Linked DNA regions of Rattus norvegicus. The protein of the gene in region 1 interacts with the protein of each later gene in a pairwise test. Links are inferred from orthologs where the notes say so. Each region holds a gene or a part of one and is shown in the gene's direction. Other genes may lie near its edges.

Region 1 (3,500 bases):
CAGCTAGTTCCTGCCTACTCAGTGTTTACTCTCTGATCTCTACCCTTGGGAGCTGTAAACCCCAGAGCAGGTTATCAGAAGACTGGGTTTGGATTCTGTGTTTGCCTCTGTGTGTATGTGTGTATGGGCATGGGTATATGTTGCTGGATGGAACTTAGGGCCTTTTGAATGCTAGGCAAGGATTCCACTGAGCTACATTCCCAACCCAATTAATGCCATTGCCTCTGCCATTAAGAGGTCATTACAATAGCTTGTAGAATCTTGGTACCATTCCATGACATGAGACTTACGTATGTAAGAGTATTTTTATAAGGGACTGGAGAGATGGCTCATCAAGTAAGAGCACTGAGTGTTCTTCCAGAGGACCCGGGTACAATTCCCAGCACCTACATGGCAGATCACAACTGCCTGTAACTCCCAAGATCTAACTAACACCCTCACACAGACATACATGCAGGCAAAACACCAGTGTACATTAAAAAAAAAGTCTTTTATAAAAATAGCATCGGAAGGAACCAGGCATAAACTGTTACACTGTGTAGAATACTTGCCTAACTTGCACAGGGCCCTAGGCCTGGTCTCCAGGACTGTATAAACCAGGTATGGTGGCATACACTTGAAATCCTGGTGCTTTTAGAGGTTCAGACAGCAAGATCAGATGTTCAAAGTCATCCTCATTCACAGAATGTGTTAGCACCCAGCCGGGGCTACTTGAGACTCTGCATACAAAACACCAAGCCAAAAACTCACTAAACTGGAGAGCTGGAGTAGAGGCTGTGAGTGTGGGGCAAACGGCTTTGATTTCTTTCTGTTCTCTTTTCCACAGCTGAGAGAGTATCAGCAGAAGAACAGCCCGGGTGTCCCTGCAGGAGCAAAGAAGAAGAAAAAGATTAAAAATGGCCATAGTCCAGAGAGAACCTCTGCCAGTGATTGTCAGTCAGCAGAGAATGTGAGTCTTGGCCAGCAGATTCCTGAGGAATGGGGTGGGGGGAGAAGGGAGAAGGCTGTGGTTCAGGTAATGTCAGGTGCTGCTAAAATTTCTGGTTTGAGGGCTGGAGCCTAGTTCAGTGGTGATGGACTAGGGCTCGCTTGCCTTGCAAGGGACCCTGGATTTTATCTCAGCACAGAAAAATAAAATCTGAGTGTGGATTCTGTCTCTCCATTGTACGATAAGTCTTAGGGCAAGTGGTTTAAAGTCTTCAGACGTCTTTTTACATATCTGTACAATAGCAACAATGTTTTAATGTGTAAGTTTATTGTGATTGTTTTCGGGTTAACTCCCCTAGTGGAGGGTCTGCTGTGGAGTTAACAGTGAGCCAACAATAGGTACTGCTTGGGTTTCTTGGTTTGGGGTAGAAACCAGAGGGAACATCATTGTTCTCAGGCTTCTGAAAAGAGCCATTAGGAAGAGATCTGTGTGTTCAGTCCATCGTTGTCATGAGCTTGCTGGGTTGCCTCAGGAAAGTCCCCACACACACTCAGTTCCTTCATCTGACAGGATGATGGTGTATTGGCTTATTGTCTTACAGATTCTCTTTAGCTGTACCTTATAGTGTACAAGTGAAGTCTTATTTGGGAGTCTGGTTTTAAGGTGGACATGGGACTGGGGCCTTTGCAGATTGCTCCATGCAATCCTGGGTCTGTGGAACAGGTCTGGTGTATGTTGAGTCGCTGCCTTGATCAGGTGTAGTCACTGCATCCCCTGGGGACTCTTGCTCACTCTGAGGGCTGCCTCTGACAAGGCAGCAGCTGGCTGCTTGGAAGGTTGGCACAGGCCTGGGTGCTGATCTGTGCTCCTGAGTATTCCATCTCCCTGACTGTTTCTCTTCTTGCCCTGACTTGCTTCCCTGTCCCTCCCTCCCCTCTCTTTCTCATCTCTTTTCTTCCCACCTGCATCCCATCTTACCCCCCTCCCCTTTTCCCTTCTCGCCTGCTGTAGATTCAGGACATTCTGAAGGTGTTGGTGTCCGACCTTAACCGTTCCAATGGGGTCTCGCTCCCCCCATTAGACAAGAGGAAGGTGAGGCAGTGCCGAGACTCCCTCTGGCTTGCTCTTCCAGCCATGCATGCCACAGAGGCCTCCCTGCTGTGGGGGACCCTCTGCCACTGGCTTACTGTGTGTTGCCTCAGTTAACCATCAGCCCCTATGTCTGCTTTTTCAACTGCTCGCTTGATTGGGTTTTTTCCTTTCCCTTTATCATTTCTCATTTAGAGAATATGAGACCCACCTTGAAAGTTAAAGCTAATTGGGGAAACAGCTTTTGGTTCAGATGAGTGAGACTAGAGTTTATGAATGCCTGGCAGGGCACTGTCAGACTGGGACAGATGGGACACAAACACACCTTCAGATCTTGCCCTCTGGGCATCCGTCTCTAAAAAGCTAGACCATTGAAGTTTGTGCTTCTTTTTTATGAACTCATTTTGATTTGAAACAGGAACATGAGGTTATGAGAAAGTAAATTTATAGTATAGTTTCTGGGATTAAGACTTTTTTTTTTTCTTTTTTTTTTTTTTTTTCGGAGCTGGGGACCAAACCCAGGGCCTTGCGCTTCCTAGGTAAGCGCTCTACCACTGAGCTAAATCCCCAGCCCCGATTAAGACTTTTTTAAGAAACCCTCAACAGGGGTTGGGGATTTAGCAAGCGCAAGGCCCTGGGTTCGGTCCCCAGCTCCGAAAAAAGAAAAGAAAAAAAAAAAAAAGAAACCCTCAACAGGCAGTGGTGGCACATGTCTGTATTCCCCAATACTCTGAAGGCATAGAGGCAGGCAGATCTCTGAGTCTAGGAGGGCGTGGCCATGTCTGGTCTACAAAGTGAGTTCTAGGATGTCCAGGGCTACACAGAGAAACCCTGTCTTGAAAAGCAAAATGAGGGGTTGGGGATTTAGCTCAGTGGTAGAGCTCTTGCCTAGGAAGCGCAAGGCCCTGGGTTCGGTCCCCAGCTCCGGAAAAAAAGAATTAAAAAAAAAAAAAAAAGAAAGAAAGAAAAGCAAAATGAAAAGAAACTGTGAAAGTGTAAAGTTAACTGACAAATAAGTGAGTGACCAGGAGAAGCTGTTCTCAGTCTCTCTGAAAACTCAGTGGGTTCCTGATAGGAAGGGCACTTCCTAAACAGTGGCAGAAGTAGATGCGCAGTCCAGGTGCAGTAGAACGTGCCTATGAGCCCAGCACTGCGGACACTGAGACGAGGATGGGAAGCCCATCCTACACAGTGAGAGCCCGTCCGGAACCAATACCAATACCAGACTAAATGCACAGGACAAGAGTTACGCGGCCTCCAGGATGTCTAATGTAGCCACAGGAAAGTTGGTTCCCAGTGGACTCAAGGCTGGAGAAGGGGCGTTTGCAGCTACTTTGACAATGAAAGATGGGTCATGATCATACACACGGAGAGCTGAGGAGCAGAGAGCTGACAGGCGGAAGGGCACTTTTCAGAGACTCAGCATCCACGTGTGACAGGACCTGTGTTCACAGGGCTTAGAGCTGGCTTCCTGGATATAACC
Region 2 (4,138 bases), on another chromosome or scaffold:
GACAGTCAGATACATACCACATAAAATAAAGATCAACTAATGGGGGGGGTGGTAAAGATGCATAACAGAAAAAGAATACTTCTCTGAAAGTCATACTTCTTCTTCTAAAACAAAGAAAGGAAGTAAGGATGAGTGTGATAGATGTTGCAAGAAAAAAATGAAATGGTTGGCAAAAAATTTTCAGTATTGAAGATCAAACCTAGGGTTTCATGCAAGCTGGGAAGAGTGCTAGCACTGAGCTATACAGCTCTTATCACAAACGTTGGTTTTATAAATGCACACCTTAAAGTTGTCGAACTTTGATTTGACTTTTAAAAGCTAAATCGTTCTGTAACTCTGTAGCTGAGGATAAACTTAAACTTCTGATCCTCGTGCCCCACGAGGTGGAATTATAACCATGGGCCCCCATATTTGGCTTGTATGGAGTTGGGAACTGAACCCAGGTCTTCATGTTCCTAGGCAACTCTACTAACTGAGCTACATCCCAGTCCAGAAGAGAAATTCTCTTCTTCCTTATCAAATTTGAGGGAAGAGATGAGAACACAGTAAGGTCTCACCAAAATTTAAATTTCGTTTTGTTTATTAGATCATTGGTCATATGCAAGCAGAGAGCAGCTAAGACCGAGAATAGCGATGACTTGTACTAGCTTCTCAACATTTTAAGTTTTTCTTAGGCCGGAGGGCCCCACAAAGCATAGGGCTAGAATTCTCTTCTCTAATGCTGAAAATGTTATGGAAAACAGCCACAGGCAGTCCTTCACAGAAACTATCAGAACTAGTTCTGCAAATCTGTTTTCTTCAGAGGAAACTGCCAACTGGAATCTTCTGAGAACCCGAACACCATGAATCCCCATATAGAAGCCTGTTCAGCGCCTGACCAACTTCCAAGATCAGGGTCTTAGTCTGCGGAACTTTCGTAGATGCGTGAAAGATGACTCTCCCTTCCCATTGGCTGACCTTTCTGGCGTTTAACCCTTAAGTACATTTTCATTGGTTGCCATTGCCGTCATGTTCTTTCGCCACACCCACTTCCTGGTCCACTTCCTGCAAGATCCGGACTGGAATACGCTGCGGTTGTCCTAGTTCTCCTAGTTTCCCCATCCCCTAGGCCGAAGCTACCGTCTCTAGTTAGGGGCCCCGCCCCCGTATGACCAGTGACCCGCTCCTAAGACGTCAGCTCCAGCTCCTTACAGTTGGGGCCCATCATCACACCCCTACCGGCGGTCTCTCCAACTCGTGGCCCCGCCCTCACACCCAAGCCCCGCCCCAAGCAGAACAAGTCCACGCCCCTTGCCCGCGGTCCCGCCCCTCCCTCCCCAGAGGGCGGCTACCAGGCGGCGGCCGCAGCCGCAGGAAGATGCTGGAAGCCGGCGGGCGCGCGCCTCGTAGGTGCTGAAGGGACAGTTCCTTCGGCAGAACTTGCTCCTGAGCGCACTGGGCACGTAAGCGATGGAGGCTATTTGGATCTACCAGTTCCGCCTCATCGTGATCGGTGACTCCACGGTAGGCAAGTCGTGCCTTCTGCACCGCTTCACCCAAGGCCGCTTCCCAGGGCTGCGCTCCCCGGCCTGCGACCCCACAGTCGGCGTGGACTTCTTCTCGCGCCTCCTGGAGATTGAGCCAGGCAAGAGGATCAAGCTGCAGCTTTGGGACACGGCGGGGCAGGAGCGATTCAGGTAGGGAGGAACGCGCCACAGGCTCTCGAAAGTGCTAGTGCTCGGTGCTCGCTTCCCCTTCGCTCCTCCCCTTCCAGGGGCGACTTCCTCCTCCGCAGTTTCTTCTTTATTTAGTGCGGATTTCCTGCGCCCCCTTTCTGTCTTCTTTCCTGTCCGAACCAGGGTCGCCGGTCTTCCCCAGCTCTGTCTGCTTCTCTTGGCGTTTGGGTCCCTTTGGCTCCACCGTTGCCTTCTCCCCAAACTCGACTTCGCTCGCTGCGCACACACACCCTTACTCAACCACCTTCCTCCTAGCACCTCCTCTCCAGCCTTGACCAAGGCTCTTTCGGGCCCGGGAAATATGCCAAGTGGGGTTCCTAAGTCTGTGAAAAATCTTTAGTTTTCAGCAAGCAGATTTCCAGCCGAGGTTACAGTCAGAGCTGCCTCAGAACGGTTTACAGCGAGATGCATGCGGTAATGGTTTGAACATCTGACAGCACCGAGTGTGGTCATCAGAAAATTCTGGGCCATGACCCTCGGGAGTAGGTCTTGGAAAACAACTAAATGCAACATCAGAGTCACTGACACAACTAAGGGTGTGTGTTTGTGTTTAAAGGGTGAAGTTGCTTTTTGAAGTTCGTCATCTTTGGCGCTTTGCTGTGAAAAAGATAATACGGAGGGTTGTCTGCAACCTTTCCTTTATTTCATTGATGGGTTCATAACGTTCTGGTGTGTGACAGAAGAAAGTACTTTTCTAAATGGAGAGAGTCAGTCTTAAGTAAATAGTCTAGTTCTGGATGTTTACTGGGGAACTTGAAAGATTGTATAAAGCCCACTGGCCTTACAGAAAAAGAAGATAAATGAAACCGAATTCCTTGGATAGTTGAGATTAAATCGCATTTAAAGCGTATTTCCAGTTTTTAAAAAATCACATGATCAATTGGAAATCTTGTAGGCAAGCATTTTTATATCTCTTAGCAAGTACTTTGCTTGTGAAATAAAGAACTCCATTAAGGAACTTCACAAATATGGCTTCCCCTCACTCAGCTAATATCCATTCAAAGAGAAGTCAGCCTACATGTGTAGAATGTTCAACATTCAAAATTTTGACTTCCAGCCAGATTGTGATAGAACAAGACTTTAATCCCAGCCCTCTGGAGGCAGAGGCAGGCAGATCTCTGTGATCTCAAAAAAAAAAAAAAAAAAGTGGGTTGGTTTGTTTTGTTTGTTTGTTTTGGTTGTTTTTTTAGTTGTTTGTTTTGTTTTTTTTGGTTTGCATTCCTGGGTCTGACACTGTGATTCCACTGATCCACAGAGAAAACAAGGGTACCTACCCACCTCTCTTGCTTGTATATAAGTTGTCTTTTGTGATGTAGAGAAGCGATAAGACCAGCTTTCAGAGAGGTGTTAAAGGTCAGCGACTGTTTAGAATTCCATGAAGACATTTTCCTTTCCTTTTCAATCTGCCTCCTTCGATTGAAAGTGTTGCTTTGTTTTTTAAACTTGTGCTTTGGGATGGAGAGGTGGCTCAGAGGTTAAGAGTAGTACCTGCTCTTCCAGAGGTCCTGAGTTCAAATCCCAGCAACGGCATGGTGGCTCACAACCATCTGTAATGGGATCTGATGCCCTCTTCTATTGTGTCTGAAACAGCTACAGTGTACTCATATACATTATATAAGAAACTCTTTAAAAAAATAAACTTGTGCTTCATCTGTGAGATGAAAACGTCTTTATGATTTCTAAGACTCCTGGTTCAACCACTCTTGAGAACCGTTACAGACTCTTCCGTTTGTGATCTTACTCAGAGATGAACTTCCAAGATAATTCAGGGTCAGGGGAAAAAAGCATTTAATAAGAGAATTTGCTGTACCCTTTAAAGATAGTAAAATCTTCTTCTGTCCAATTGTTTACTTAAAAGTAATTCCTCACCCTATTGGCAGGAAGGTAAACGATAATTAATTTATTAGAATGTAAATCTTTGCTAATTGAGGGTTTTGTAATGCCTTTGAGAAGAATCTAAATAGCAATTCCTTTTATTTATACATTATTAAAACCACCCAATAATGCAAGGACAGTTAGAGAACATTTATGATGAGTCATACTCTGGGTTTTTTTTGGCTCTTTACCAATGATATATTCATAAATACATATTTCAGTAGCTACCTACAATAGTTGCCTTTCTAGCATTTAGCAGAACGCCTCACCTAAAACGGCATTCTGAACAATTACTGTTAAGTCATCTTCTACAAAATGCAGATATTATCTTTGAATCATGGGTCTCCTGGCATGTTTTATTACCTTCAAGGGTACTTGAAGACACATGTCTGTCATTACAGTCATAACCTGACGAATTTGTGAGAAGTATTGTATTAGGTTTACTGGTGATTAGACATAAAGGAAAAAGGAATTTACCCTAGAGGGCTCATGATGCAGTTTGAAATATATTACAGAACAAAGAAGTGACCAGTGGGTAATTATCACCA
Region 3 (3,708 bases), on another chromosome or scaffold:
TCCTTTTAATCCAACTTTACCTTTGAGAATAAAACAAGCAAGGTTTTGTCATCAAAACTAATATGAAAATATTAAAATACGAATTTCCAGGTTTACAGAGTGGGATAATACCTATTCAAGGCAAGGTAGGCATCATGGTCACATTATTTTCCAAAAGCAACCAGGCAAAAGAAGTGGAAATAGAAACCATAGAGGTAGAGACTGTGCCATGAAAATGTTTACATACCGTCCATAATCTTTTAATGCATTTGTAGAAGATGCTTGTGAGTTAAAATACCTATTTTTAAACTCTTCCTTTATTTTTAGGCACTTGTCAGGCTGTATTTGGACAAGGCCACTCTAATCTGGAATGGAAATGTTGTTACAGGGCTGGAAGCCCTTGCTAATTTTTTTGAGATGTTGCCTTCCAGTGAATTCCAGATCAATATGTTAGATTGCCAACCAGTTCATGGTAAGATCATGATCTTTCAAAGAATCTCCTTCATTTTCTGTTAGTAAACACTGAGGTTTACACCCCAAGCAACAGTAACCTTCAATAGTGGGTATGGTTACTTATTTGAACAAGTTAAGTGTCACAAAAAAACAAGTTATATAGTCAGGATTTGGGTCTTGTTTTCACTCCAGAAACCACCATTAATTTTGGGAGATTGTGATTTTTTGTTATCTAAAAGGAGAATGGCTACAGAAAAAATTAAATATCATATCATAGATTAATGTGTCTGAGTGTTTGTTAAAATTTCAGAGAACTGTATTCTATGGAAGAATGACTTGTGATAGAATTTGATTCCCAGTGGATTGATGCAGTTCACCTCTAGATGGGGAATTCACTATCTTAAGTAGTTGTTTATAATGATATCTCCCCTTATAGTTCCTGAAGAATGGCTTTAGAGATAAACTATGAATGATGTTAGATATCTAATGAAATATTAACATGTACAGGGAGCATATAGTCATGTTGGATTTATGATCTCTGTTTTTTTTTGAAACTTGAGAGAACCCTGCAAATCTTTCTAGACTGAAAAGAATCATCTTAATACTTTTTAAAATATTCATCTATTGACTTTGATATGCTTCTTAAAATACAGAGCGTTCATGAAAAAAACTTTTAACATTGCAGCACAAGCTTAGATGTGTAATGTGACCTATTCCTCTTGCTTATATTGCTAAAGAGCAAGCTACCCAGTACCAGACTACAGTGCTCGTCGTGACCAGTGGAGTGGTGAAGTTTGATGGAAACAAACAACACTTCTTTAACCAGAACTTCCTGTTGACTGCGCAGAGCACTCCTAACAGCACGGTGTGGAAGATTGCAAGTGATTGCTTCCGTTTTCAAGATTGGGCTAGTATTTAAAGGAGCAAAAGCCCGTTCGATTGGTCCATTAGTTCCAGCAAGAGAAGTTTAATGTGAATTAATAGATTTCGTTGCAAAAGTACTATAAACTTAAGTGTATGTGCTAAAACTAAATGTATGTAATATTTTTTTATTCCTAGCAGCACCTTTGCTAGATTAGCTGCCAGTTTGGATTATTGCCCTTAAAAGCTTTAAAGATAGTTTTTTACATGCCTTATGCATACATTCCACTACTGATACTCTCAAGGTAATATTAAACATGATCTAGGTACTAAGATACTCACTGTGAACCCAATCTCTTGCACAAATGGAGTCCTTTTTTGTAATACTGTCTATGGAATAGCACAAGATAGCTCTGTAGGAGGAAATAGTGGTTTTTCAGTTATTAGGGTAATTTCTCAATGAAGCACATGCCTGTTTACGATGAACAATGGTACTAAAGTTTTAATATATAAGTATAGATATTTGAAGTCAGTTCAATTTAATTTTATGCTAGTGTTCTGTCATATTTCAATTGCATATAAGTGTATAATAGTCCTGCTGTTTTCTGACATTGACATGTTTCCTTTTGAAATGAAGTAATCAACTAGATGGGCGAAAAATGGTCTTGATGGATACTTGGGTATTGGGTACATTTAGTGGCAGTAGCAACTCAGAGAAACATTTTCTTGGAAGCTTCAAGTCAATATATTTATGTGATAAATGGGAGTGAGAATAAAAGCCTTAATGGGAGAGTATGGAATGAGAAATACAGAAATCTAAGACTGAAGCCAACAAACGAGAGAGGTGGCCATACTCGTGTCCTACCTCCTGCAAGTGTAGCCGAGTTTCAGGGTTGTATCCCAAAAGTGTCTAAGAATCCTTGCCAAATGGTCCTAAAAACTGGATTTTAAGATCCTTTTACTCCCCTTCATACTTATCTCCAGTGTCCACCCTAGTTTGTGAATTCATAGGATTAAGATATCAGCAGTAAACTTCGTCTCAGAGTCTGAAAGGTAGGAAGGAGGCTACCGCTCAATCCGTGTGGACCCCGAACTCCAAAGTCTTCCGTGTAGGCCTCGAGCCCACAGCCTCCTGGGTCTTACCCGCCACGCACAGGAATGATTTTCTTCTCTGGTGTTTGCACTGTCAACTGTATTACCTACTTTTTAAAATTAAATCTATGATCTTATGATTTATTTCTGTATGGCACTGGATTAGAAATAATATTAAAATATTTCTGCTTATGGTTAAAAAAAACAAATCAAGGAAAAGATCTTCATGATAAACTTCAAAGGAACAAACTCATTAACTTTATGTCTTAGATTCTAAAGACAAAAAAAGTTTTTAGTTTTTAGTTAAATTTTAAATTTTACAATTTTTTGCAGTTTTTAAATATTTTAAGCTAACATGCTATCTTTGTTCTGTGGTATGATCAAAATTAAATTATCACTCAATTTTAAAACTAGTAATTTACTTTGGTCCAGAAATGCACTTTTAATTATTGTATTATTTAAATGAAGTAGAAGGGGATAGAACTGATATTTAAAACTATGGTTTATTTCAGTTCTTATCAAAACATACGCATTCTAGACTATTCAGAGTGGGCTTGCTCTTATTTTGAATTTTTTCCATTAACTACATCTTTAGTGGAAACAATTAAAATGTCCAATCGCTGCCCTTTCTATTGGTGGAGAACAATCTCAAAACTGTGTATAATTAGCAATAACAGAATTGAACCATTGTGAATTGCTTTATCCATACACTGTATAATTCCGTAATGTGTATGACTTTAAATGGCTGGAACTGCTCATATGTGGACTAAACTATTTTTGACATGTTCATATTTTTATAACTTAAAAAATAAAAATGCATTTTCACAAGTTTTCTCGTCTTTCTTAAGGTTTTTTGCTTTTGTATTTAAGGCCCCAGAATGGGAACTGGTTCATTATAAGGCTTCTTTTTTAAAAATAGTTTTATTATTTCATTAATTTACATTTCAAATGTTATCCCCTTTCCAAGTTCCCCCACCAACAACCCCCCTATCCCATCCTCCCTCCTCCATGCTTCTATAAGAGTGCATGTTCATGAAATTTTCCCATGTGCTGATGTGTTCAAGATTCTTCCCCACTTTTTCTTCTGTTAGTTTGAGTGTATCTGGTTTTGTGTGTAGATCCTTGATCCACTTGAACTTAAGCTTTGTATAGGGTGATAAAAATGGGTCAATTTGCATTCTTCTACATGCTGACCTCCAGTTGAACCAGCACCATTTATTGAAAATGCTATCTTTTTTTCCATTGGATGGTTTTAGCTCCTTTGATCAAGTGACCATAGGCGTGTGGGTTCATTTCTGGGTCTTCTATTCTATTCTACTGATC
Region 4 (3,354 bases), on another chromosome or scaffold:
AGGGCTAAGGAATTCCATTATTTCAGAATAAGAAAGATGATCAAATTTAAGGACTTCTGGCTTTGGAAGCTTCAACCATGGTCATTGCATAAAGGAAAGTTCGAGGAAATATCAGGTTCAGGTTACCTCCTCTCAATCTACATTTTTTATTTATGAACACCAATATGCTGCCTCTCATTTATGAAAGAATGTTAGATATTATCCAAAAGAATTGCATTTGAAAGATATTGGGAAAGATTTGGACGTGCGCCCAACATGGAATTAGTCATTTGCTAATGACGTAATGCAAGACGTGGAAGATTTCTTATAAACATGAAGATGTAACAGCAGTAAGCAGGGGGAAAGGGCACTGGGAGTGCATGAAAAATACACTATCATAAAATGTGTATTAATAAACATGTTGATCATTTCCCACTAGATTCTTAAGGGAATTTCTAAATGAAATCAAAGTGACCTAATAGAAATGCAGAGCCCAAATCCATAGTTATTAAAATAATTGTAAGCCAACAAACTAAGAATCCAACGATGAATGAATACATATAAATAATTTTATATATCTGTTTTGTTCATGTGGGACCTGGGGTTTAAACTCAGGTTCATGCTTGAACTGCAACAGCTCTTGCCCACTGAACCAAGTCCCATTTTAATTAAAATTTTAGACGCACATCAATTATGTTATATGAATCTACTTCTAAAACATTAAATTCTCACATGGATTGATTTCCAGTGTCTGTAACTATACTTTGCATTCTTCCTTGTTTGATACTGCTCAGATTTGTAACGATTTATCTCTATTAATAATTTCTCAACATTCTGATATTAGACAACACATCATCATCATCATCATCATCATCATCAGGTATGACTTTCCAAGAAAAGGTTATTTTTGTCTCTCCTATTCTTTTGTGGAAAACTCAAATTCAAGAATTAGTCTTCTTCCTCCAGGACCTTCACACTTAACTCAGTGTGTCGGAACTTAACTTCACCATCTCAGCTATATCTTTCTCCTTCAACTTGTTTCTTTCCCCACTATCACCCATCTCTGTCCCATACAGGAGACCAGGAGATCCTTTTCATAATACTAGTGGTACCCTCCCTTAGACCCCAGTGGTTGGGCTTTGCTACTTCGCTCCTATCCAGCCCTACCACCCTTCTGGCTTCCCACTACGCATGCGCAATATAGCGTCTGCCCCGCCCGGCCCGCTGCTGCGGAAGGCGCAGTGCTCAGTAAAGCGCACTTCCTCTGCTAGTATCCACTGAGGCAGTGCAGGCTCCGAGAGCTCCGAGTCGCAGCGGTCCTGCTCTGATCAAAAGACGCAGAATGTCGGAACAAAGTAAGGACCTGAGCGACCCTAACTTTGCCGCTGAGGACCCCGACACTGAGATGCAGGTCAGCGATGCTGTTCCGGTGGGGGTCCCTCCTCCCGCTCCTCTGGCCGCGAACCTCTCAGGGCCATCGTGCGCTCCGGAAGGCCCTATGGCAGCCCCACAGGCCTCGCCACCACCTGCAGAACGGTTTGAAGAGGTTGACCCTAAGATCCTGCAGCAGGCCGCAGAAGAGGGCCGCGCCCACCAGCCCCAGAGCCCAGCCCGGCCGATCCCAGCACCGCCGGCCCCTGCCCAGCTGGTGCAGAAGGCGCACGAGCTCATGTGGTACGTGTTGGTCAAGGACCAGAAGAGGATGGTCCTCTGGTTTCCAGACATGGTGAAAGAGGTCATGGGCAGCTACAAGAAGTGGTGCAGAAGCATCCTCAGGCGCACCAGCGTCATCCTCGCCAGAGTTTTCGGGCTGCACCTGAGGCTGACCAATCTCCACACCATGGAGTTCGCCCTGGTCAAAGCACTCAGCCCAGAAGAGCTGGACAGAGTCGCGCTGAACAACCGTATGCCCATGACAGGTCTCCTGCTCATGATCCTGAGTCTCATCTATGTGAAGGGCCGCGGGGCCAGAGAGGGTGCGGTCTGGAATGTGCTGCGCATCCTGGGGCTGAGGCCCTGGAAGAAGCACTCCACCTTCGGAGATGTGAGAAAGATTATCACCGAGGAGTTCGTCCAGCAGAATTACCTGAAGTACCAGCGTGTGCCCCACATCGAGCCTCCCGAGTACGAGTTCTTCTGGGGCCCCAGAGCTAACCGTGAAATCACCAAGATGCAGATCATGGAGTTCCTGGCCAGAGTCTTTAAGAAGGATCCCCAGGCTTGGCCTTCCCGCTACAGAGAGGCTCTGGAGCAGGCCAGAGCTCTGCGGGAGGCTAATCTTGTCGCCCAGGCCCCCCGCAGCAGTGTCTCTGAGGACTAAAATGTCCAGGAGCACATTGATAGTTTCTGACCCATACTAGGGCTGTGTAAGGGTGGGGTTGGACATTAGAGTATCCCAGATTCATAGTGCAGTATTTCATGTATAGTTTTTAAGTTTTCCATCCAGTGCTTTTTTTATCTTGTAATGCAATGTATTCAGTTGTGTACTCGTGTAGTGTTTAAAATTGATGCATGTGTGTTTTATAAGTGAGCAAGTTGGTACTTTCACTTCTGTGCTTTCTTGGATTTTTGTACAAGAGATGTGCTGTGCTAAACTTGTGAAATACATTGAGGTGTTCTGTATCTTGTTCTTTGAATGGGACTGATGGTCCGTATCGACAAAGAAGGCCCTGGAGAGTTAGCAGGACTTAACAACAACACAGACCTGACCAAGAGAAAGGTCAGGGTCCCTCTCCATATGACTCCAACTGGCACAGGAAACATCCATGTGGAATGGACTGATTTGAACTGGACTGTTTTCAGTTTAAGCACTTAGCACACTTTGCAAAACATGTATCCAACCCCACCATAAATAAACTTTAAAATGAGCATTAAATATACCGTGAAATAATTTCTTTGTTTGGGGGGGAGGCATTTATTTTGGTGAAAGGGGGAATGGGAGTGGGTAGGGATGAGAAAGATTCTCCCCGTGTACAACATGAGCAAGTATACTTCTAACAGAGTGGGAAAACACCACTCATAACCACTCAGAAGTTTTTTGAAAATTGTGGTGCTTCAAGAAATTGGTCACATTAAAGGCGTGATAACAAAAAAAGGCATGTTCACATAACGTGGGAATAATAACAGGAATTATGTAGGGACTGTCCCTTTTCTGTTTTGTTTTGTTTTGTTTTTTTGTTTTAAATAGTCTTTGGTGGGCACTTTAACAGAATGAAATATTGCTACTAAACCCTCGTTGTGCATTTTCTTCTTTATTTTATCCTCCCACCAGCCATAAGAAGTAAGGAATGACTGTATCAGCACAAAGCAAGAAAAATGAAAGGATGCTGGTAATGAAATACCCTAAAAATCATAGACCTTATACTGGAGTCTTGA
Region 5 (3,500 bases), on another chromosome or scaffold:
TGCTTGACCTGGTACCATGCAGTCTTATTTACCAGCCAGTGAAGCCATTCCATAGGAGGGGTGAGTAAACCTTTTCTGTAAAAGGCCAACTAATACACATAATTTAGGGTCATAATCTCCCAGGTCTGCATGGTGGCAGTGAGCTGTAGATGACAGGTACACACGTGCATGGCTGCTTCCAAACGGAAGCTTTGTAAAAGCAGTCTGGCTCACGGCTGCGGTTGGCCCACGCCTGTCCTGAAGGATGGCCTCGGAACCCTATAAATCCCATTAAGTAATGGAACTGCTTTTGCTCAAGGAAGCTGCTTTTGATCTTGTGCTCCTAGAGCTCCAGGATGTCATGTATCGTCCTGAGGTGATTTTATGAACCTGGCCTAAGTAAGCAAGTAAGGTTTCATAACCACTTCAGCTCTACCGGGTCAGTGATGTGGTTTCCGAATTCATGTCGATTGATGGATGATGGTGCTAGAGATGAAACTCAGGGCCTCAGACTCGGTAGGAAAGTGCTCTGCACTGAACTACATCTCCAACCCTTTAAATTTTAATGCCCTATTGTACAACCAAGTAGCTAAACAGCATTGTTAGTTACTTAGGAATTTTGGTATCTCTAACTTTAATTGTAACTGCCAGAGAACTGTTTGCCTCTGAAAAACATGTAGCTGGCTTAATTTTCTTTTAAAGAACCATACTTTCTTCTAGTTCCTTATGAGGTGTTCAGGAGCATATCCTAATTGCCTGCATACAAGCTGAACTGGTAGTCTGAAGGAAGGGTTTTGGGTGATCCAAAGGCTCTCTGAGGAGACTGATGTGAGCCATAGTTCTTTTCTATAGTTTGTTCATTCTCTGATTTAGTTGCTGAATTTGGGCTGTCTCACTTTAGTTGAAGCCTAATTTAATGCCCCTTAAAAACCTTTGGGACATCTTAAAAACCCTTGGGTCATAATTTATTCTAGGGATGACCTACTCCTTCTTACAGCTCCCTGGGGACAAAGAGTTTGTACCCTGGCAGCAGGATTTGGATGATTCTGTGAAGCCCACCCAGCAGGCCCGGCCTACTGTTATCCGCTGGTCTGAAGGGGGCAAGGAGGTCTTCATCTCTGGGTCTTTCAACAATTGGAGCACCAAGATCCCTCTGATTAAGAGGTGAGGACAGGCATTCTGTTGAGTCTGCAGCATGCAGGAATCGGCACCTAATTGCCTTTTTTTTTTTTATAATTTATTTAATTTATGTGAGTACACTGTAGCTGTCTTCAGACACACTAGAAGAGGGCATCGGGTCCCATTATGGCTGTGAGCCACCATATGGTTGCTGGGAATTGAACTCAGGACCTCTGGAAGAGCAGTCAGCACTCTTAACCGCTGAGCCATCTCTCCAGCCCGATTGCCTTTTAAGAAGAGAGAGGGCCTCAGGAGTTTCTAACAGCACTGTGTGTGTGCCATTCAGGACCGTGCTTCTCAAGCCATTTCCTGTCTGGAGGAAGCCTGGAAATCACTAATCCTGTTGCTTTGATTTCTGTATTAAAGTAAAATACATTGTGACATTCTAGGTATAATGCCAGTTATCGCTGACAACACAGTAGTGAATGATGTAAGTGGTTGTCAGAGTGACCCTCTACATAATGGGGTCATTTTCCAGAAAAGACTCACCAAACTATGGAAAGGGTACCCTGAAATATTCCCAACCCAAACCTATCTTTTATGTTAATCATATTTGTGAATACTGCTTTGTGTGTAACGTGTGTTTGTGTGTATGTGTGTACATGTGCATGCATGTACATGCAGACATGTGTACCCATATGTGTGCATGTGAAGGCCACAGTAAGCCCCAAGAATCTTCCTCTGTGGCTTTCAGCCTTGTTGCCTTGAGACAATCTCACTGAACCACAATATCTCCATTTCAACTAGTTTTACTGGTCAGCAGTTGATTGGGGTCTGCCTGTCTCTGCCCTGCCCCCGCCCCCTCCCCCAGTGCTAGAGTTACAGAGGGGTGTGTGTGTGTGTGTACCCATGCCCAGCTTTTTCCATGGATTCACACTCAGGCCCTGAAGCTTACAACAAGCACTCATAGTGGCTGAGCACAACTCCCTAGCTCTAAGAAATCTAAACATTTTGGCAATCACTCCCCTCCCCGCCCCCAACACACACACACACACACACACACACACACACACACACACACACACACACGTGATGGAGAACAGAGTTAGTGGGAGAGGTTGACAAGCACATGTGTTGACTGATACAGAGGCAGAGAATGGATTTGTACCGTGGGGTGAGGTGAGCACAAGGACTGTAGCTTAGGAAGCCTTAGGAGGCCATTGTAGTAGCCCCATCATTTCCTCTTACTTTTTCACACTCTGTCTTCTTAAGGAACTTGGCCTATTTGACCTTCTGTTTTCTTCTCTAGTCATAATGACTTTGTTGCCATCCTGGATCTTCCCGAGGGAGAGCACCAGTACAAGTTCTTTGTGGATGGACAGTGGGTTCATGATCCATCAGAGGTAAGGCCTGGATTTGCAACGGAGCCTCAGTGGCTTCCTTGTGACTCACTACCCTCCAGTTCAGTGGGCAACAGGCTTCCTACTAGGGACTTGTCATAAAAGTAGAGGGGCACTTGGGTGATGATATAGATTTAAAAGGGAATCCAATTTTATTTCATTTATTTATTTGTTTGTTTATTTGTTTGTTTATATTTCTTCACTGTTTCAGCCTGTGGTTACCAGTCAGCTTGGCACAATTAATAATTTGATCCATGTCAAGAAATCTGATTTTGAAGTATTTGATGCTTTAAAGTTAGATTCTATGGAAAGCTCCGAGACATCATGTCGAGGTAATATTATCCTATTGCTTTCTCTTGCTATGTCTTTCTTACAATGCATATTCCTTCCCCAAACTGGTTTCTTGTTTTATTTTGCATTTTCATGTTTTTCTCGGAATCTTATAATCTCACACACACACATGTGTGCACACATGCTTGCACACAAGTCCCATGTGTATAATGTCTGCCTTTCTTACTCTGACACACTGTTCTCCATTTTACCTTTATGTAATCCACCAGTAGTCTGCGGTATCAAATGCTATTTCCAGTAAGATTTCACACTTTCCGTGAGCATCTGGTGATATTACCTGTAGAGGCTAGATGCGTCTAGTTTGTCTTATTAACCTGAATCAGCTAGTTTGGGAGCTCAACTGGCAATTATGATTTTATGAGAGCCTACAACTATAATTGTCACTGAGGGAGTGTGAGAAAAAAAACCAAACCAATAGTTGCTCTATGTAGAATTGAATCTGCAGGGACAGTCCTGGATGTTTTGTTTCATGTGTACTCCTTCCCCCAGGTCTTTCTAAGTGCTTGTTCACTCCGACAGCAGAGGCACATTGTCTTGTTACTGTATGGTGGGAGGTGTGCCTGCCTGGAGAGCTGCACACTTTATCCGCTGAGCAAAGAAAATGAGACAAGGCCCTTGTTTGCAAAGCCTGCCTCTGCTACTAGTCATGCC
Region 6 (3,500 bases), on another chromosome or scaffold:
ATGTCTCCTTTATAGATGAGGTATTTGAGACAATCATAAATGTTCGGCTGGTTATATTTAGCATGTTATAATGGTTGTTTTATTTGTTCTTTTATTGCTACAGAAGTGTGAGCAGTGGAGTCTAATCCACACCTGCAAAGTGTTTTCTAACCGTTTCTTGATTTTTTTCTTCTATTGTTCTAGTTTTTTAAATTCTTTAAGTGATTTTTCAAAATAATGTCTATCAGGTTGTTTTTAGTCATTGAGGTCAGTTATACAGTGCTGGTTTGGAACTTGGGTGAGCAACAGTTGACCTGAATGCATTGAGTGGTGAAAGTAGATTCTGTTCAGAGTAGATGCTATTTCAAATCGAATGGTTAAGAACTAGGCAGAGTCTGCATATTAATTACAGCCTGAGCAGTGTTTTTGCTTAAGTGGAGTTTATAATGTCTTTTCTTTCAAGGATTTTACCTTTCTATTCCTTCCCTCTCACTTTTCTCTCATCAGTGTAAACCAGAATACAAGGTACCCGGACTGTATGTTATTGACTCCATTGTGCGACAATCCCGGCATCAGTTTGGTCAAGAAAAGGATGTGTTTGCACCCAGATTTAGTAATAACATCATTAGCACTTTCCAGAATTTATATCGGTGCCCGGGGGATGACAAGGTATGTTATTATTTTATTAAAGGAGCTATGGTACCCTCTTCTTAGATAGAATCTTTAGACCACCTTATTATATGACCTCTTGTTGACATTTACTCTTAGCTAATCTGACCTTTAATATTTAATTATTGTAACAGCCACACTCATTTTACTCGTAGAACTTTTAGAGAGTAGAAAAATGTAATTCCTTCTGCTACTTTTTAATTTATTGAAGCAACTTTTGTAAAAAATTTGCTACCAAAGTATTTTGAAATTGTATTAGACATTGAGTCCTGCACACAGCCACTTTAGGATTGTGGTTATATTTCAGTTTTGTGGGAAATGGATCTGCCAAGCAGTTCATAGAGAAGTACACATCAGACTTCTTTTGTTGCATTTTCTAAGTGCTGAAGACTAACACTGAGATTTTAGTGTGTGTAAATGGTCTATATTTGGAAGGTAAAGGATCTAGAGCTAAGATTCAAAGGAGATGGTTCCCTTCATAGCTCCTCTGGTTATAGGTGATACTGATTTGGAAGTGATATGGTATCCTTTTTCTGTTTTTAAAAAAAGTTACGAAATGGTTAAGAGAGGGTAAATGGTTGGTGATGGCTGTTGACAATTACTTCTCTATTAGAGCAGGCAGTCGTGAAGCTTACAGATGTCTGTATCCCCAGTTCCAAGGGATTCAGCACTGTCTTTCATTCTCTCTCTTCTGTTCTTTTTCTTTCTCTCTTATACACACACATACAACACTATAAAAAGGAGAGAATGGGTGAGGGTTGTTATAAGGAAGAATCATAAATCTAAGGCTTATAACAAGACTATTTTTTTTTTCCTTTTTTTTCTTTTTCGGAGCTGGGGACCAAACCCAGGGCCATGCGCTTGCTAGGCAAGTGCTCTACCACTGAGCTAAATCCCCAACCCTGACTAGTTTTATTTTTAATCACTGTCATGTCTTGAATTTTAAAAGTCAGTATTATAGGGATAAATTTATTGTAGCATATTCTTCGTAAATATTCTTGGATATATTTCCTGGCAGTTCCTGTATTTTGTTCTAATTATTTTGGTATTACGGTAAGCCTAGCTAGTAGTCCTAAAGACTGTTTTAGATGTTCAGTCACCCACCTTAATGATTTCTTTTTTTTTTTTTTTTTCCTTTTTTTTTTTTTTTTGGAGCTGGGGACCGAACCCAGGGCCTTGTGCTTGCTAGGCAAGCGCTCTACCACTGAGCTAAATCCCCAACCCCAATGATTTCTAATAATGGAATCCTGTGTAAAATAATTCATTAATTTGAAATAGCACTTATTTAGAAGTCATACTGATTTTCTTGAATTTTTGACAGTTACAGGATACAAATCCATTTTGATCTTGTGGGTTTCATGACTAACACCTCTCAGAATAATCTTTATGGATGAGGCATTTTATAGACCGTATGAGGAAAGATGAGCTGAGTCTGTAGTCTCAGTATTAAAGGAGGGATGTGTGTTTAGATACACAGGATGATGTTGCTGGGGTTCTTTAAAGAACTTAGTGAGTATCAGACGTAGAGAAAGGTTTATGTGCCAAAAGAGTGACCAGTACTCTGAGTACTGGCTCTGTGCAGAGGCAAGAGTTGAATCAGAGGGCTTGAACCATTTGTTGTATAATTTTTCTTATGCATCATTTGAAGTACAAAAATTTACACAACTGCATGTTACTTAAAGTGAACCAAATCTTTATTTTACATATTTAACTATTATTTTCTCTTGCGACTTGGACAGCACCAGCATCTTTTTTTTTTTCTTAAAAAGTAACAACACCTTAGAATAGTAGTAATTGATAGTTCTTTGGCATAGAACTCTGTATTAAATAGTTGTGATTCATTAGTTCTGTGTGGTCATTAAGGGATTGGGGAGACTTTTATTCTTAATTTCGGTTCAGGTGATCTTTACTCTGATTTAAGTCTATAGTCTGAGTAAACTATTATTTCAAGAAGTGGAAATAATTGATGTTTATTTAAAATAATAATAAAAATAACATGGTGAAGCATTTTAGAATATCTTTCTTTGTTGGGCATATAGGCCTACAGACCTGAAGCTTCTGGAATCTGTGAACCCTTCCATCAAACAAAAAGACACTTAGTAGGAATCTCTTTGCTCACTAACTCTCCGCATTCCTGATTGTGACATACAGATCTCTATAATCAACTCAGTCTTTTCAAGTTACATTATCTTGAGTAAGACATATGCAAGAATTGAGTCAATAGAATTTGAGAACTAAGAAGGGATTTCATATGAACACTGTGGGAGAACGATGAGGGTTTCAAGTGAGTTGAAGTAGTTTTTTGACTGATGACAGCCTGTAGCTTTGTCTCAGGGTGCTTGTGCCTAAGACATGCAAATGCTAGCAGCAGGCAGTTTGTTACAGTCACAGCTAAAGAAAAGTATAAAATCTGTTGTAGTTCATTTTGTAAATGAAGAAATGTTGGTAAAATTTATTGACATAGTTGGCCTAGGACCAGAGAGAATGAGAAGTGTCAGGCACATCTGTCATGAATTGTATAGGAGATGCTTATATATTACATGACTACATGAACCTCACGAAAAATGGGACTCAGGCCTAAGTACTCAAGAAACCCAGAACAGGTAAAGCACAGTATGATGTACCTGTAGGACTGAGTCGAAGTTCTTTGACTGTAGTGAATTGGACACACAGTTGCACTCAAAGGGCTTGTCAGAAAAAGACTCATGGTGGAGAACATGCAGATTTGATTTATTTATTTTTGCAAAATGGTAGAAGACGCAGATTATTCTAAGTCACAAAATAATGTAGAGTATATAAATATATCATATAAAACATAGTTCTTGCCCTAAGGGCCAATTGAGTAATGCTCG
Region 7 (4,037 bases), on another chromosome or scaffold:
CTGAAAATGCAGGCCAACAATGCAGAGGCAGAGAGTGCATGCTCAGAGGCCATTAAGGCCCCTGCCGGGGCTGGGGATTTAGCTCAGTGGTAGAGCGCTTACCTAGGAAGCGCAAGGCCCTGGGTTCGGTCCCCAGCTCCGGGAAAAAAAAGAACCAAAAAAAAAAAAAAAGGCCCCTGCCAAGCCTCAGGCCATCAAGCCCAAGATGCCAAAGGACCCCAGCCACAAACTCAGCTGTCTGGCTCTCATCACTCACTCCAAGCTTGGGAAGAGCATTTGAAGCTACATGGTCAAGGGTTGTAAGCTCTGCCAATCAAAGCAAGATTGTACAGAGGCTAGAAGCTTCCAGGACTAGGCCTAGGTTAGCAGACAAAGGCAGTAAGCTTTGGAGATGACAATTACATTAGGCAAATAAAGGATATGTATTGTGCAGCTCCCCTTGGGACCATCCATTCATCCCTAGTATGATCTTGTTCTGAGGGATCTGAATCCAGATATTTCCTCTAAAACCAGGACTTGATCTCAGGGCTTATACCAGGAGCCTCACAGGCTGCTGACAGGTACCCAACTTGTGTTCAGAATGAAAACAAAAATGAGATTGTCTTGGTCTATTTGGGATGCTAGAGTGTTCCAGGTTGGGTAATTTATCAGACTAGGGATGGAACCCAAAACCTTCTACATGTTAGGCGAGTGATCTATCATTAAATCCGTTTCTGTTCATTTTGAGGCAAGGCCTCAGTGAACTGCCGGGTAAAGCTTCACCTGCGGAGTACACAGATCGCTCTGGTTTAGGGATGCTTCGACTTGTGGTATTTAGCTTACTGTAATGCCATGCACGCTGTCACTCAGAGCACGGAAGAGTTGATCTATGTTCCTTTGGCGACTTTATCTGCTCCTCAGTGTTCGGTGAAGTTTTGCCATTACTTAACTTAGTTTCAACAGTGACCTGGACCTCAGGCCTTTGGAGTTAGCACGCTTGGCTTTCCAGGAAACAAGCGGACAGCCCCTCCTGGTGTCACTAAGGTGTTGTGGTGTCCCACTCCACGGAGATGCCTAACACAAGCGTTATCAGGTGTGATAGCACGGTTGCCTTTTTGAAGAGGTACTGCGCAATAGGACGAAGGATGTGCCTGTGGGTGAAGCAATGAACGCCCTTTGGAAAGATGGAGTCGGTCCGGGATACGCAGTGCGCAGGCGCACAGGAACGTTAGTTAGAGCGCAGGCGCGCGCGGGGGGCGGGAGAGTGACGTCACGGCGAGCGTCCGGAGGCCGAGTGCTGCGGGGAGTCCGACTCCAGACCGTAGATACTGAAGAAGGTGCAGCGGCTCCAGCACCATGTTCGGCTCCAGTCGCGGCGGCGTGCGTGGCGGGCAAGACCAGTTCAATTGGGAAGATGTGAAGACTGACAAGCAGAGGGAGAACTACCTGGGCAACTCGCTGATGGCACCAGTAGGCCGCTGGCAGAAGGGCCGCGACCTCACCTGGTACGCGAAGGACCGCGCGCCGTGTACCGGCCCGAGCCGTGAAGAAGAATTGGCAGCCGTGCGTGAGGCGGAGCGTGAGGCGCTGCTGGCCGCACTGTAAGTGCTTGGGCTGCGGGGCGACCGCACGCGCCGGGGGCGGGGTCTGGGTGACCCTGGGGGCGGGGTTGGATGTGGGCGGGGCACACGAGGAAGGCAAAGGAGGGACTAGACCTTTGCTGAGCATTCCCGCCCCTCGTTCGCAGTGGTTACAAGAACGTGAGGAAACAGCCCACCGGCCTGAGCAAGGAGGTGAGTCTGAGATAGGGGTTCAAGGTTCGCAGGGTGGCTGGGGGTCCGTCTGTCCCGGCCTAGAACCTCCTGTCTTCCGCAGGACTTCGTGGAGATCTGCAAACGGGAAGGAGGAGATCCTGAGGAGAAGGGTGTGGACCGGCTGCTGGGTCTGGGCAGCGCCAGGTGCGGCCAGTTGGGGAGTCTAGGGCAGGACTGGGCGGTGATTCAGAACTGTCCTCAAATGCTCTGTCCCCTGCAGTGGCTCCGCGGGCCGTGTGGCACTATCCCGAGAAGACAAAGAGGCTGCCAAACTTGGGCTGTCAGTGTTCACGGTAAACCCTGTCAACCCTAATGCCCAGGATCTTGGGGTTTGGGGGTGTCTGAGATGTGGGGCAGGATTCCCGGAGTGTCCCTCACCACAGCTACTCTTATACAGCACCACCGTGTGGACAGCGAAGGCCCAAGTACTGCCCCATCTGCTACCAGGAAGAAGCCCCGTGCTGAAGACAAGGCTGAACTGGAGTAAGTTGAGTCTGACTTCCTGTGCACGCATAAAGGGGCAAAGCACTGCCTTAGGTCTCTTAGTTTACTGAAGTAGGTGGGCCTCCATCTCCCGGCTGAGTCTCAGTAGCTGCCACAGGCAATCCAGCAGGATAATGGGTACAAACAGGAGGGTGACACTCAGGACCATGATGCTAGCCAGTTTGGTGGGGGGTGTAGTAGTTAAAAGTATAAGTTGGCTTTGGTAGTGGCACACATCTTTCTTTCTGGTAGACAGAAGCAGGCTGATCTCTCATAAGCTGGTTCCAGGCCTTGGGATTTAACTGTATGTGTGTCAGGTTACTTCTACTTTTGTGCCATGTCAGCTTTGTATGTAGGTAAAATAGTGAGTTCCGAGCTTGACAAGGCTGCAGAGAGAGACAGAGAGAAGGCCCACCAGGTTGGTAGCATGCCAGCATTCACCCTTGCTGCTGTGGAGCCAAATATTAAGCTCATTTACAAATATAAACTCACAATGTGTAGAAACGACCAGTGTGCAATGCTAAGGTATGGACCCTGCCCTATTCTGTCTTTCCCTACTGGGTGAGACTACCCCACAGTGGAGTGACTCTAGTTCTTCAGGCTTAGACCCTTTGTATTGTTTCTTGCAGTGCAGAGAGCCATAAGAAAAGCAAGAAAGAAAAGAAGAAAAAGAAGAAGAAACATAAGAAACACAAAAAGAAGAAAGACAAAGAACACAAGAGGGAGGCTGACAGCTGCTCATCTTCTCCCTCTCCTGCCCGGTAGGCTAGGCCCAACTCTATCTGGGTCACTAAGGAAGGGGGTGGGGCGCAAAGCTGGCCAGGGCTTGAGTGATGCTTAGCAGGGTGATGGACCCTTCAAGTGTCCCTGTCTTCCTAGGCCCAGACGCCAGAGACATTCTGACTTCTCTCCCTGCTATAAGAGGAAGCGGGAACATAGCCAGGACAGTGGAAGGAACCCATCCCACAGACGACAAGACAGAAGTTCTGATGACTGAGAATGTGGCTACACCAAAGGACACCAGAGGCCTGGCTGCTCTGCCCAACTCTGAGCTCTGTGGGGTCTATCACTGATGCCAAGTGGCTACCAGCCCACTCCTACTTGCTAACTATCTCATCCCTATCTGGGATAAGGCAGGGCTGCTCCCTAATAGCATCCTGAGCCATGCTTGCTGGATCTTAGGATCTATCCTGCCAATTGGAGGCAACCACTCCGGGTCAGAGTGGGCCCTGGGTTACCAGAGAGCCTAGTGGTTCTATGAGGGTAATGCTCTCCCCTTGTCTCCCCACCCACCCACAATTGCCCAGGAGACTGTCTGCCGCCATAGTCCAGGCCCTTGAGGTTTTGGGGTGTGTGTTACTGATTACTTCTACTTTTTTTTGTATCAGCCCACTTTGTACTTAAGTAAATGTATTTTAAAAGTAGAGTGTATTATCTCACTGAGGACAGGTTATGCTGGGAGCCTACCCCTCCCCCCCACACCTCACCATTCAGTATACCTGAGGGCACTGGGTCTAGGGACCAGAATCCTGTCCTTGAGGCTGCCTTACAAGCATACAAGTGACCAAGAAGTTGGAAGAACAAACTTGTAAATTTGAATGTATCTGCTGTCTGCTAAGAGCTCCAGTAGCCAGCAATTTTATAGAGCCTGTGTGCACATGCTGGCAGACAGTAGAAATTAGGGTTGCTACAATATAGCAAGTTGTTCTGATTGTAAAAGCTATTATGCTGGTAGTGTACACTTCTGGGTAGACCCCAAAG

What was found.
Region 2: the proteins of Golga2 (region 1) and Rab39a interact in binary tests that used the Homo sapiens proteins (3 or more experiments, as listed by UniProt). The two-hybrid records come from large-scale screens. The link is inferred for Rattus norvegicus from reciprocal best matches to the Homo sapiens genes GOLGA2 and RAB39A.
Region 3: the proteins of Golga2 (region 1) and Nxt2 interact in binary tests that used the Homo sapiens proteins (3 or more experiments, as listed by UniProt). The two-hybrid records come from large-scale screens. The link is inferred for Rattus norvegicus from reciprocal best matches to the Homo sapiens genes GOLGA2 and NXT2.
Region 4: the proteins of Golga2 (region 1) and Ndn interact in a two-hybrid assay, tested with the Homo sapiens proteins (2 studies listed by BioGRID and IntAct). The link is inferred for Rattus norvegicus from reciprocal best matches to the Homo sapiens genes GOLGA2 and NDN.
Region 5: the proteins of Golga2 (region 1) and Prkab2 interact in binary tests that used the Homo sapiens proteins (3 or more experiments, as listed by UniProt). The link is inferred for Rattus norvegicus from reciprocal best matches to the Homo sapiens genes GOLGA2 and PRKAB2.
Region 6: the proteins of Golga2 (region 1) and Scaf8 interact in binary tests that used the Homo sapiens proteins (3 or more experiments, as listed by UniProt). The two-hybrid records come from large-scale screens. The link is inferred for Rattus norvegicus from reciprocal best matches to the Homo sapiens genes GOLGA2 and SCAF8.
Region 7: the proteins of Golga2 (region 1) and C10h1orf35 interact in binary tests that used the Homo sapiens proteins (3 or more experiments, as listed by UniProt). The two-hybrid records come from large-scale screens. The link is inferred for Rattus norvegicus from reciprocal best matches to the Homo sapiens genes GOLGA2 and C1orf35.

The regions. Positions count from the first base shown.
Region 1 is NC_086021.1:35,984,783-35,988,282, forward strand, and holds part of Golga2 (golgin subfamily A member 2), read left to right. Parts: intron 1-826; coding exon 827-949; intron 950-1,939; coding exon of another isoform or gene 1,940-2,020; intron 2,021-3,500. UniProt on the Homo sapiens protein: Peripheral membrane component of the cis-Golgi stack that acts as a membrane skeleton that maintains the structure of the Golgi apparatus, and as a vesicle thether that facilitates vesicle fusion to the Golgi membrane.
Region 2 is NC_086026.1:62,999,254-63,003,391, reverse strand, and holds the start of Rab39a (ras-related protein Rab-39A), read left to right. Parts: upstream 1-1,338; 5' UTR 1,339-1,449; coding exon 1,450-1,676; intron 1,677-4,138. UniProt on the Homo sapiens protein: The small GTPases Rab are key regulators of intracellular membrane trafficking, from the formation of transport vesicles to their fusion with membranes.
Region 3 is NC_086039.1:110,656,526-110,660,233, forward strand, and holds the end of Nxt2 (NTF2-related export protein 2), read left to right. Parts: intron 1-306; coding exon 307-451; intron 452-1,169; coding exon 1,170-1,351; 3' UTR 1,352-3,208; downstream 3,209-3,708. UniProt on the Homo sapiens protein: Regulator of protein export for NES-containing proteins. Also plays a role in mRNA nuclear export.
Region 4 is NC_086019.1:125,259,805-125,263,158, forward strand, and holds Ndn (necdin), read left to right. Parts: upstream 1-1,254; 5' UTR 1,255-1,321; coding exon 1,322-2,299; 3' UTR 2,300-2,854; downstream 2,855-3,354. UniProt on the Homo sapiens protein: Growth suppressor that facilitates the entry of the cell into cell cycle arrest.
Region 5 is NC_086020.1:187,949,009-187,952,508, forward strand, and holds part of Prkab2 (5'-AMP-activated protein kinase subunit beta-2), read left to right. Parts: intron 1-953; exon of another isoform or gene 954-955; coding exon of another isoform or gene 956-976; coding exon 977-1,143; intron 1,144-2,407; coding exon 2,408-2,501; intron 2,502-2,709; coding exon 2,710-2,830; intron 2,831-3,500. UniProt on the Homo sapiens protein: Non-catalytic subunit of AMP-activated protein kinase (AMPK), an energy sensor protein kinase that plays a key role in regulating cellular energy metabolism.
Region 6 is NC_086019.1:46,170,972-46,174,471, forward strand, and holds part of Scaf8 (SR-related and CTD-associated factor 8), read left to right. Parts: intron 1-486; coding exon 487-648; intron 649-3,500. UniProt on the Homo sapiens protein: Anti-terminator protein required to prevent early mRNA termination during transcription. Together with SCAF4, acts by suppressing the use of early, alternative poly(A) sites, thereby preventing the accumulation of non-functional truncated proteins.
Region 7 is NC_086028.1:44,493,148-44,497,184, forward strand, and holds C10h1orf35 (multiple myeloma tumor-associated protein 2 homolog), read left to right. Parts: upstream 1-1,237; 5' UTR 1,238-1,335; coding exon 1,336-1,580; intron 1,581-1,726; coding exon 1,727-1,772; intron 1,773-1,854; coding exon 1,855-1,937; intron 1,938-2,013; coding exon 2,014-2,086; intron 2,087-2,190; coding exon 2,191-2,276; intron 2,277-2,905; coding exon 2,906-3,037; intron 3,038-3,155; coding exon 3,156-3,273; 3' UTR 3,274-3,700; downstream 3,701-4,037.